Linked DNA regions of Xenopus tropicalis. The protein of the gene in region 1 purifies or fractionates together with the protein of each later gene. This does not show direct contact. Links are inferred from orthologs where the notes say so. Each region holds a gene or a part of one and is shown in the gene's direction. Other genes may lie near its edges.

Region 1 (4,521 bases):
GTACAGTAAATAATTATGGCAGAGCCGGAACTAGGGGTAGGCAGAAAAGTTACATGCCTAGGGTGCAACGTTGAGGGTATTTGGCACATTCTTTTGCCTACCCCTAGTTCCAAGCTCTTTTTATACCCCCCACCGCGAGCTACCTCCATCCCGTCTTCAGCGCCGCCAGCAACCCGGCTTAGCTCGGCACTGAATTCTGGTACAAAGGGTCCCTACCTATAGAGCTTTTTGTGCCAAAAGGATAAGGATAAGTGACTTTCTGATGCTAGAAGACTCAGGAGTCATCCACAGACCTGAACCCTGGGGTTAGCCCTCCCTTTTGGAGACATATGAAGCCATGTTTTATGCATGAAGTTGGCATCTCTCTCCAGTTTTGTTAAGAAATGCCTCCTTTACAAGCATTGTAACTGGATGCTTAAATGCCCTTATTACGCACATATTTTAATACTGTGCTCGAGCAGGGTTTCAAATGTCCTGTGAATGTTTTTTGTTCATTGAACATTTGCCCCCACCCTAAATCAATTGATTTAAATGTTTTCAGATTTTTGAATAGGAAGATAAAGAAGAGCAACTCCATAATGTACTTGTTAAGCCTTATTTTATATTTTGCTTTTCCAATATTTTTATTGTTGTTGTTGTTCGTGGTCTAAAACTCGCCTAGGAATCCGTTATCTGCCCATGCTCACTGACTTACTGGCATACTGTTGTATTCCCTTGCAGAATGAGTCTTACGAACGCCAAATGCGAGAAATGGAGGAGAATTTTGCCGGAGAAGCTGCTAATTATCAGGACACTATTCAGCGCCTGCAAGAGGAGATCCACAACATGAAGGAAGAGATGGCTCGGCACTTGCGAGAGTACCAGGATCTGCTCAATGTTAAGATGGCCCTTGATATAGAGATTGCTACTTACAGGAAACTCCTGGAGGGAGAAGAGAGCAGGTAGGTTTGAAAAGCTGTCACTAAGCATTAATGTTGGCATTTCTATACTGAATTAGGCTGAACGGTGTGTGAACTGTCATAAATATGTTCTGTTTTGCAGAATTACTGTTCCCGTACATTCCTTTTCTTCAATGAGCCTTAGAGGTAAATCTCTTTTAATTTTATTCTTTATAAAGGGAAGTTAGCAGGATGTTATATCTGTATACTAACTAGTTTGAGCATCAGTACTTGCATTGTTAAAAACAACTATGACATGAATGGGTCTGGGTATTTGATCAGCTTGTCGAATGACTGGCTCAGTCAGAACAGCCTTCCTGTCTTGGACTCGTTTCCCATTCAAGCAAATGTGAAATGACGGTCATAAGGCATATGCAAGTGATGTCAGATGGGGTAAAATGCAAAAAAACTAATGACGGTGCAGTAAAGAGCCTTTATATTTAATCGGCAGACTAATGCTCATTATAAACACCAAACTAAGTAAGAACTCAGAACTGCCTGTACTAAGTGGTACCCTTCCTTCTCCAGCATCCATTTAGGAGTCCTTGTTGCATACAAAGGATGGGGGTAAAGAGGAATATCCTGGGTGTTTTCATAAACCCCTATGTAATTTTCTTAAAGGGGTAGTACTGGTCTTTTTTTGTATTTTTGAATTATTTAGCATTTTGTTTAGCAGCTCTTTAATTTGGATCTTCAGTGGATATCTGGTTGCTAGGGTCCAATTTACCCTAGCAGCAAGGCAGTGGTGATAGGAGAGGGACTGAATAGAAAGATAAGTAACAAAGTAACAAAACCAATACATTTGTAGTCTCGCAGAGCAGTCATTTTTTGGCTGCTTGAGTTGGTGACCCCCATTTGAAAGTTGGGAAGAAGCAGAAGAGGAATGAAAATAATTCTAAAACTTTAAAAAATGAAGACTAATTAAAAAGTTTCTAAGAATAGGCCATTCTATAACATACTAAATGATAACCTAATGGTGACCTGCCCAATTAAGAGCAATGACACACAGGGAGAATAAGAAGTGCGCTCAAACAAAGTAGACAATTAAAAAGAAGTTGTACCAAGCTTAACTTTTTTAGTTCTATGGCACCAGTGCGTTTTGTTGCTGCTACAAAATGCCAGAAAATACATTGCCATAGTGTATATGGTAATTGCTTTGCTACATCACTTAGATCACATAATCACTGATTGGTGAGCGATTAAACAACTAGCAGAGGTGATTCTCAATATCCCCTGTGGCAAAGCATCTTCTGGTGTTTGGTAGCCACAACAAATGTGGGTGACACGCACCGCATGTTATTGCCCTTAGGCCAATGGCATTTTGTTGCATCTCCTAAGGATGACAAAGTGTCTAGGAATACCTTGGATTTGTTTCCATTACCAACGGATGCCAAGGTATATTTGGGTTCTTTGTCACTTGCCATCAGACTAAGGGCAATTTCCATGCAATTACACAGGATGTCATTAGCAGCGGTATTGAAACCTCAATTTCACATCCCATAAATTGTCCTTGCATTTTACTCCATTTATTGTTGTCCCACCAATATATATCAATATATTGTCTGTCCAACCAATATAGTTTTTTTTTGGTGAAGGAAGGCTGACAGCTTTTTTAGATGTGCCAGTATAAGGAAAGTGATTAATATATGTAGCTTTTGAGATAAGTCCGATGGGCAACCAAATGAGCTCATGTCCTGACATGGGGGCCTTCGCCAATTCTATTATACCAATATAATATAATACATATATAATTTACAGACATTTAGGCTGATAACACACGGAAAGATTAGACACCTACAGTTACTAATATCCCTTAAATGCTTTCCGACTGGCAATTTACTTCACTAAGGGATGAGGTATAGCACTAAGGGATGAGGTATAGCACTAAGGGACTACATTCCATAGTGCAGGTGTATTGTATATTGTGTATTTGTATTGTTTGCAGAATGATAGTTGCTTTGTCTTGCAGAAACCAACCTTGATTCGCACCCAGTGGAAAGCCATTCCAAACGCACTCTGCTCATCAAGACTGTGGAGACAAGAGATGGACAGGTTTGTCTTCACCTTTTGTGATACAAATTCTGCATGTGTGTGTCTGTGTTCCAGTATAGCTGAATAAGATGGGTAAGAGAAAGTGAATCAACAAGAGACTTGTTTGATAAATACAAAATAATGGCATTCAGAAAAGATGAAGTTTTATTTACATAGTATTTAGTTTACAAAACAATTTGCAATAACATAACGCAGATAACTTGCCAATATAAAATCCTGGCAGAAGTGTAAAGAGTCTTAGCAACACCTTCAGCAATACAGTCAACGCTTTATATCATTGGCAGCCCTCCAGCCTTCTGCACTTCCAGGCTACTGCCACCTAAAAGCTGCCAATGGGCCGAGTAGGCAGCTTATCGGCCCGTGCACTGGCTCCTCAGATGGGTCTACCCAACCGATATCTGGCCGAAAATCATCCAGATATTTATCAGCAGGTTTTAAAGATTCAGTCAGGACTCATTGATGCGGCTCTCTCGCCGGCCTTATCCTGTCAATGTGATCCAATATTTCCCACCTCAAGCTTCAATGTGAATTTTAATTGGCCTGAAACTAAAAGAGTGTGACTGTTATGACTGTGTTTTCATGTACTGATGCCTTGGTTGTTAGCCAAGAGGGTTATTCATTGGTGTGTACTAACAGTGGTCGGTTTCTTTTGGCAGGTTATTAATGAAAGCTCTCAGCACCATGATGACCTGGAATGAAACTGAAATATCCAAAGCAAAGCGGAGAACCTTTACCAGCACCGTAATACTGTTACCTGTTTTAAAGTTTGAAGAAAACCAGCTTTCAAGTGCCTTTTGCAGTAAATTGGAGAGCACAAGATAGGGATAAGCTAACTGCTAATTAGGAGTTTGGTTTGAGTGACAGCCCTTGAGAAGGTCACACAGCGAGCTTCCTTCTGTCTAGTTTACAGACAATGTAATAGCAAAGATCTTGTGCCGCAATACTGTTTTTACATTCCCAAGAAAAAAGCTTTTTTTATTTCCAGGCAATGTGCAGCCAGTGCTTCAATAAATCTTTAGAAATAACAGCCTGTCCATGTGTTATTTGTTTAACCCTCACTAGCCAAGGTTAAATTGCATACTGGTAGAATTTGGGAAAAAAAGGCCTTAACACTAATGGCAAATGAGTCTGCTTTTCCACCTGCATAAAAACACAGTAAACCCCCCCCTCAAGAATCAAAAGGTAGTGTAACAACCCCCAGCATCAAGTGGCACAGTGTATGCCCCAGCTTTACGTGGCACAGTGTAACATCCCCCAGCACTAAGTGGCACAGTGTAACATCCCCCAGCTCCACATGGCACAGTGTAACATCCCCCAGCTCCACATGGCACAGTGTAACATCCCCCAGCACTAAGTGGCACAGTGTAACATCCCCCAGCTCCACATGGCACAGTGTAACATCCCCCAGCTCCATGTGGCACAGTGTATGCCCCAGCTCCACGTGGCACAGTGTAACATCCCCCAGCTCCACATGGCACAGTGTAACATCCCCCAGCACTAAGTGGCACAGTGTAACATCCCCCAGCTCCTC
Region 2 (3,823 bases), on another chromosome or scaffold:
AGTGATACATGTGAATCACTGGGTTGAGATATGGAGTTGGTGGCCTCTGGAGCGGTGTAAGTATGATGGGCCCAGACCATATGTTGCAATTGAGTCCTTGGGCCTTTAGTATTGCAACTGGGAGACATATCCTTTGGGCCAACTTCTAAAGGAGTTGATGGGTTTTGTGTGGTTAAATGGTTATTCCTAATAGACATCTTCTTTCACTCGTGTGGGGGAGGGAGCATGCAACAGATTTTAAGCAATCCATTGTATTTATTTTCTTTGCAGACCTGTCCCAGAGCCTTCTTTACCTCATCCTGATGATGTCCAAGATGATCCTGGACCAATGTCCTTCGAGGATGTGGGGGTAAGGTTCCAGTTCTGCATTGCTGCAGTGGAACAGCTGGAGCGAGAACGCGATGAACTTATTCGAGAACTGACACTGCTTCGAGAACCTTCTTTTGAAGCAGTTAGGAGGGCACATGAAGAGGTACTGCAGGCATATGGGCAGAAGGCTCGGACAGAGCTAGAAAGGGACGGTCTGCAGGAGGAAGTTCGTACTGTAAGATGCAAGCTCTTTAATGTGACCAGAGAATATGTGGCATGCCAATTTCAGCTGGAGAATCAGCGTGAAGAGCTAAAAGACAAAGAAGTACAGCGTGGAGGCCTTGAGACTCTTGCTTCCCGTTTGGCAGAGGAGCTCACCCAGCTCAGGACTGCTTTTGTGGAGCAAAAAGAAGGAGCTCAACAGCAACTAAGGAGTGGGCCCACCAGGCATACATCACAGGCACTTCAGGATAGGCGGCGCCTCTCTGCAGAGCTACAAAGTCTCACAGAGGAGCAACACAGTTCTCTAGAGGAGCAGTATGAACCCAGATTACTTCGGCTTCTGGAGCATAGCGAAAGAGGGGTAGCAGCACTTAGGGAAGCACAGGAGGAGCTGCAGAAGCTGCGTGATGAACTCAGACCACTACAAGGGGAGGCAAGTAAGATGAGAGTGCAGAGGAATAGCCTTCAGGAACAGATTGTTCTCCTGAAGAGGAAAAGGGAAGAGGAAGTTCATCTTTATCGGGTATGGATACCCAAAATTCACAGGTAGGGTGATGGGAGGGATTTTAGAAGGTGGGTCCTGACTTGGGAAACAGGAGGGTTATAGTCAGTGTAACCCCTTTTTGGCTGCAAAACAAGGACCAGCTAGAATGGCTATAGAACATGGGATACACTGGACTCTAACACACAGGTGGGTGTTTGCTATGTAGAAGGATCAAGGGGGAGGTATTGCAACTACAACTCAGTTATGCTTTGTGCAAAAATAAGAAATAAAGGACACCAGAGAGCTCTTGCAGCAAACTCAAACAGAACTGGTTTTATTGTCCAACACAATTGATCCACAGAGATATGCAGAAAATACTTACAATACAGATGTAGAGCAATGAGTTGGCAGGTTCAATGCAGAGCAATCTTTCTCTTAATAATGATACACAACTGTTGAGAGTAGGAAGGATAGTAACAAAGTCCTTTGGATTTCCACCTTAAGTGTTCCGGATCCTATACAGCAGACCTGAATTAGGAAGAACAAACATAAGCCTGATACCCTTGTCACTACTGAGGTCTCTTTACTAAGGCAGCAGAGCCTGTAAAGGAGAACACTCCTAGCTATCTTTCCTAGTTGGAGCAAAGAAGCTGCTCTTGGTAGCTAATTTTGATCTGACTCACTTTCCTAGAAAGTGCTATAACAAAAGATATCCTGCACTTACTAAATTATTGTTTACGGGGTCCCTGTTATCCAACTTCTCTAGATAGGATGTTGTCTCTAGGGCCAAACATTTCTGGGTTGTGTGGATCCCAGGCTTTCTGAAATCACATCCACACAGATGAACTGCTTAAGGCCAAAGAGGAAGATTCACTCCTAACCAAACACTATATGAAAGTGTGGCAGGAAGTAGTCATACCTATGGGCCAATAATATAGAAATAGGTAAATAGGAAAGATAGATACATGTGATGACAATGGAAATAAGGAAGATACAGTTTAAAGCTATAGAGATTGTTAATCCTATAAATCCCTACAGTATTGCTAGACTACACTGTAGAAACATTCAACTAAATATCAATTGAATTGATAATTTCATGCAATTAGTGAAAACTAGTAGTTCCAGATTTGAAGTTATGGTGCAACACAATAGGACAAGAGTTACGTGTATATTGGTATAAGGTACTATTTCTAGTTAGCAATGGCAGCTAAGGACACAATACTTCTACTTTATAAGCTACAGAACTGCCTCTACACAGAGCCTCGACCATGACCCTACTACTACTACTGTTCAGTAAATCACAGGGAGCTTAGATGCTAAATTTCTCCAATGCTTGAGGTCTAAGAAGGTTTCTGATGGCTGTGTTCCCTATCTATATATCAAAGAGAAATACTGAGTGCATAGCAGGGCAATTTCTTACTTTTTAAATGTTTGTAAAGCCTCATGTTCTAATTTGACCATAATCTCTAAGGACAATGTAACATGGGGCACATTTTAGTTACTTTTCTCGACATTATACCTCCTTTATATTTTCAAGAACATACATGTCATCTAAACGTCTGCAAGGTTCTCAGCAATGTAGTACATTTAGATGCACTTCAGGTTTACTGATTGTTTTCAAGTACTCTATTTAAGAGATGTGCTGCATATGCTTTGTTATCTAAACTCAGTATTGGCAATAAACCTGATTTGCCTGCCATGACCTCTAGGCAGATTACTGTCACTGACCCTGTGCTTTCTGCACAAACAATAAATGATTAGTCTATGCTGTTTGCCTTATATCTTAGTCTGTTTCCATACCATAACTGACTTTGGGATACTTATTGTACAGCGCTGCGGAATATGTTGGCGCTTTATAAATAAATGTTAATAATAATAATAATTGTTAGAGAGAATGCTAAGAAACATGATATTGCAACTGTTGGCTATCCCCATTATACTGAAAGATGCAAATAACAGTTTATAAATTCAACTTTAAATCCTTTCTTTGGAAACCTAAGTCCTTATTCTAGTGCTTTGCTATTTATGGGTTCCATTTCCCAGCTGTGATATACATGTTGGATAATGCCCTTCAATTACTTTCTTTGGTAAGCTGATTCTTGTTATTGATTGGTGTTCCAGAATGGAGTATGATGGTTCTTCATTAAATTATGCAGTGAACACTTGGTTGGACATTACTTGCAGGCAGCTTTATAACTCTCAATTGAGCCACATCATTTGTTTATGAGTTGTTTGGTGTAAAAGTCCCCATGGTGCCTGGGTGAGTCTGGATTCCACCGTTACTACTCTACTAGTTTTTGTTGTGTTTTTTTTTTTTTTTTTTGGAATGAAAGGAATGTCTGTGCACTTACCAAGTTGTGGCCTCTTTGCCCTGCTATCAACTCAGTTGCTTGAATGCAATTGTAGACAGTCTCTCACATTCTAAAAGAAAATGTGTCCACCACCAACAACTCTTATACTGTCTACTCTGCTGGCCAGTTGCCTTTCCATTGTAGCTAACAAAACACACAATCCTAGTGTCAGTCCAGAAATATGTACTGTGTGTATTTGTTAGTATAGTTGTGGGTTTGTGCCTAACCATTGTGAGATGGTATACACAAGATGGAGTGCACCTGAGATAGACAGCAGAGTTTTTTTAACACACACATAACCATGTCCTGGGTACAACCATTCAATACAATAAGTAAGAACTGGGACAAAACATACAAATGAACTGTAATGTATGTTGGCATAGCTTTCACTATGCACAGAACCACAATTATCTGCCATTTTGTACATAATATGTAAATACTATGAGTTTCAGTACAC

What was found.
Region 2: the proteins of vim (region 1) and sync purify together in Homo sapiens (affinity purification with mass spectrometry; 3 studies listed by BioGRID and IntAct, counting the BioPlex papers as one, with this or other methods). This does not show direct contact. The link is inferred for Xenopus tropicalis from reciprocal best matches to the Homo sapiens genes VIM and SYNC.

Annotation. Positions count from the first base shown.
Region 1 is NC_030682.2:28,573,719-28,578,239, reverse strand, and holds the end of vim (vimentin), read left to right. Parts: intron 1-720; coding exon 721-941; intron 942-1,041; coding exon 1,042-1,085; intron 1,086-2,907; coding exon 2,908-2,990; intron 2,991-3,646; coding exon 3,647-3,688; 3' UTR 3,689-4,015; downstream 4,016-4,521. UniProt on the Homo sapiens protein: Vimentins are class-III intermediate filaments found in various non-epithelial cells, especially mesenchymal cells. Vimentin is attached to the nucleus, endoplasmic reticulum, and mitochondria, either laterally or terminally.
Region 2 is NC_030678.2:90,286,621-90,290,443, forward strand, and holds part of sync (syncoilin), read left to right. Parts: intron 1-270; coding exon 271-1,054; intron 1,055-3,823.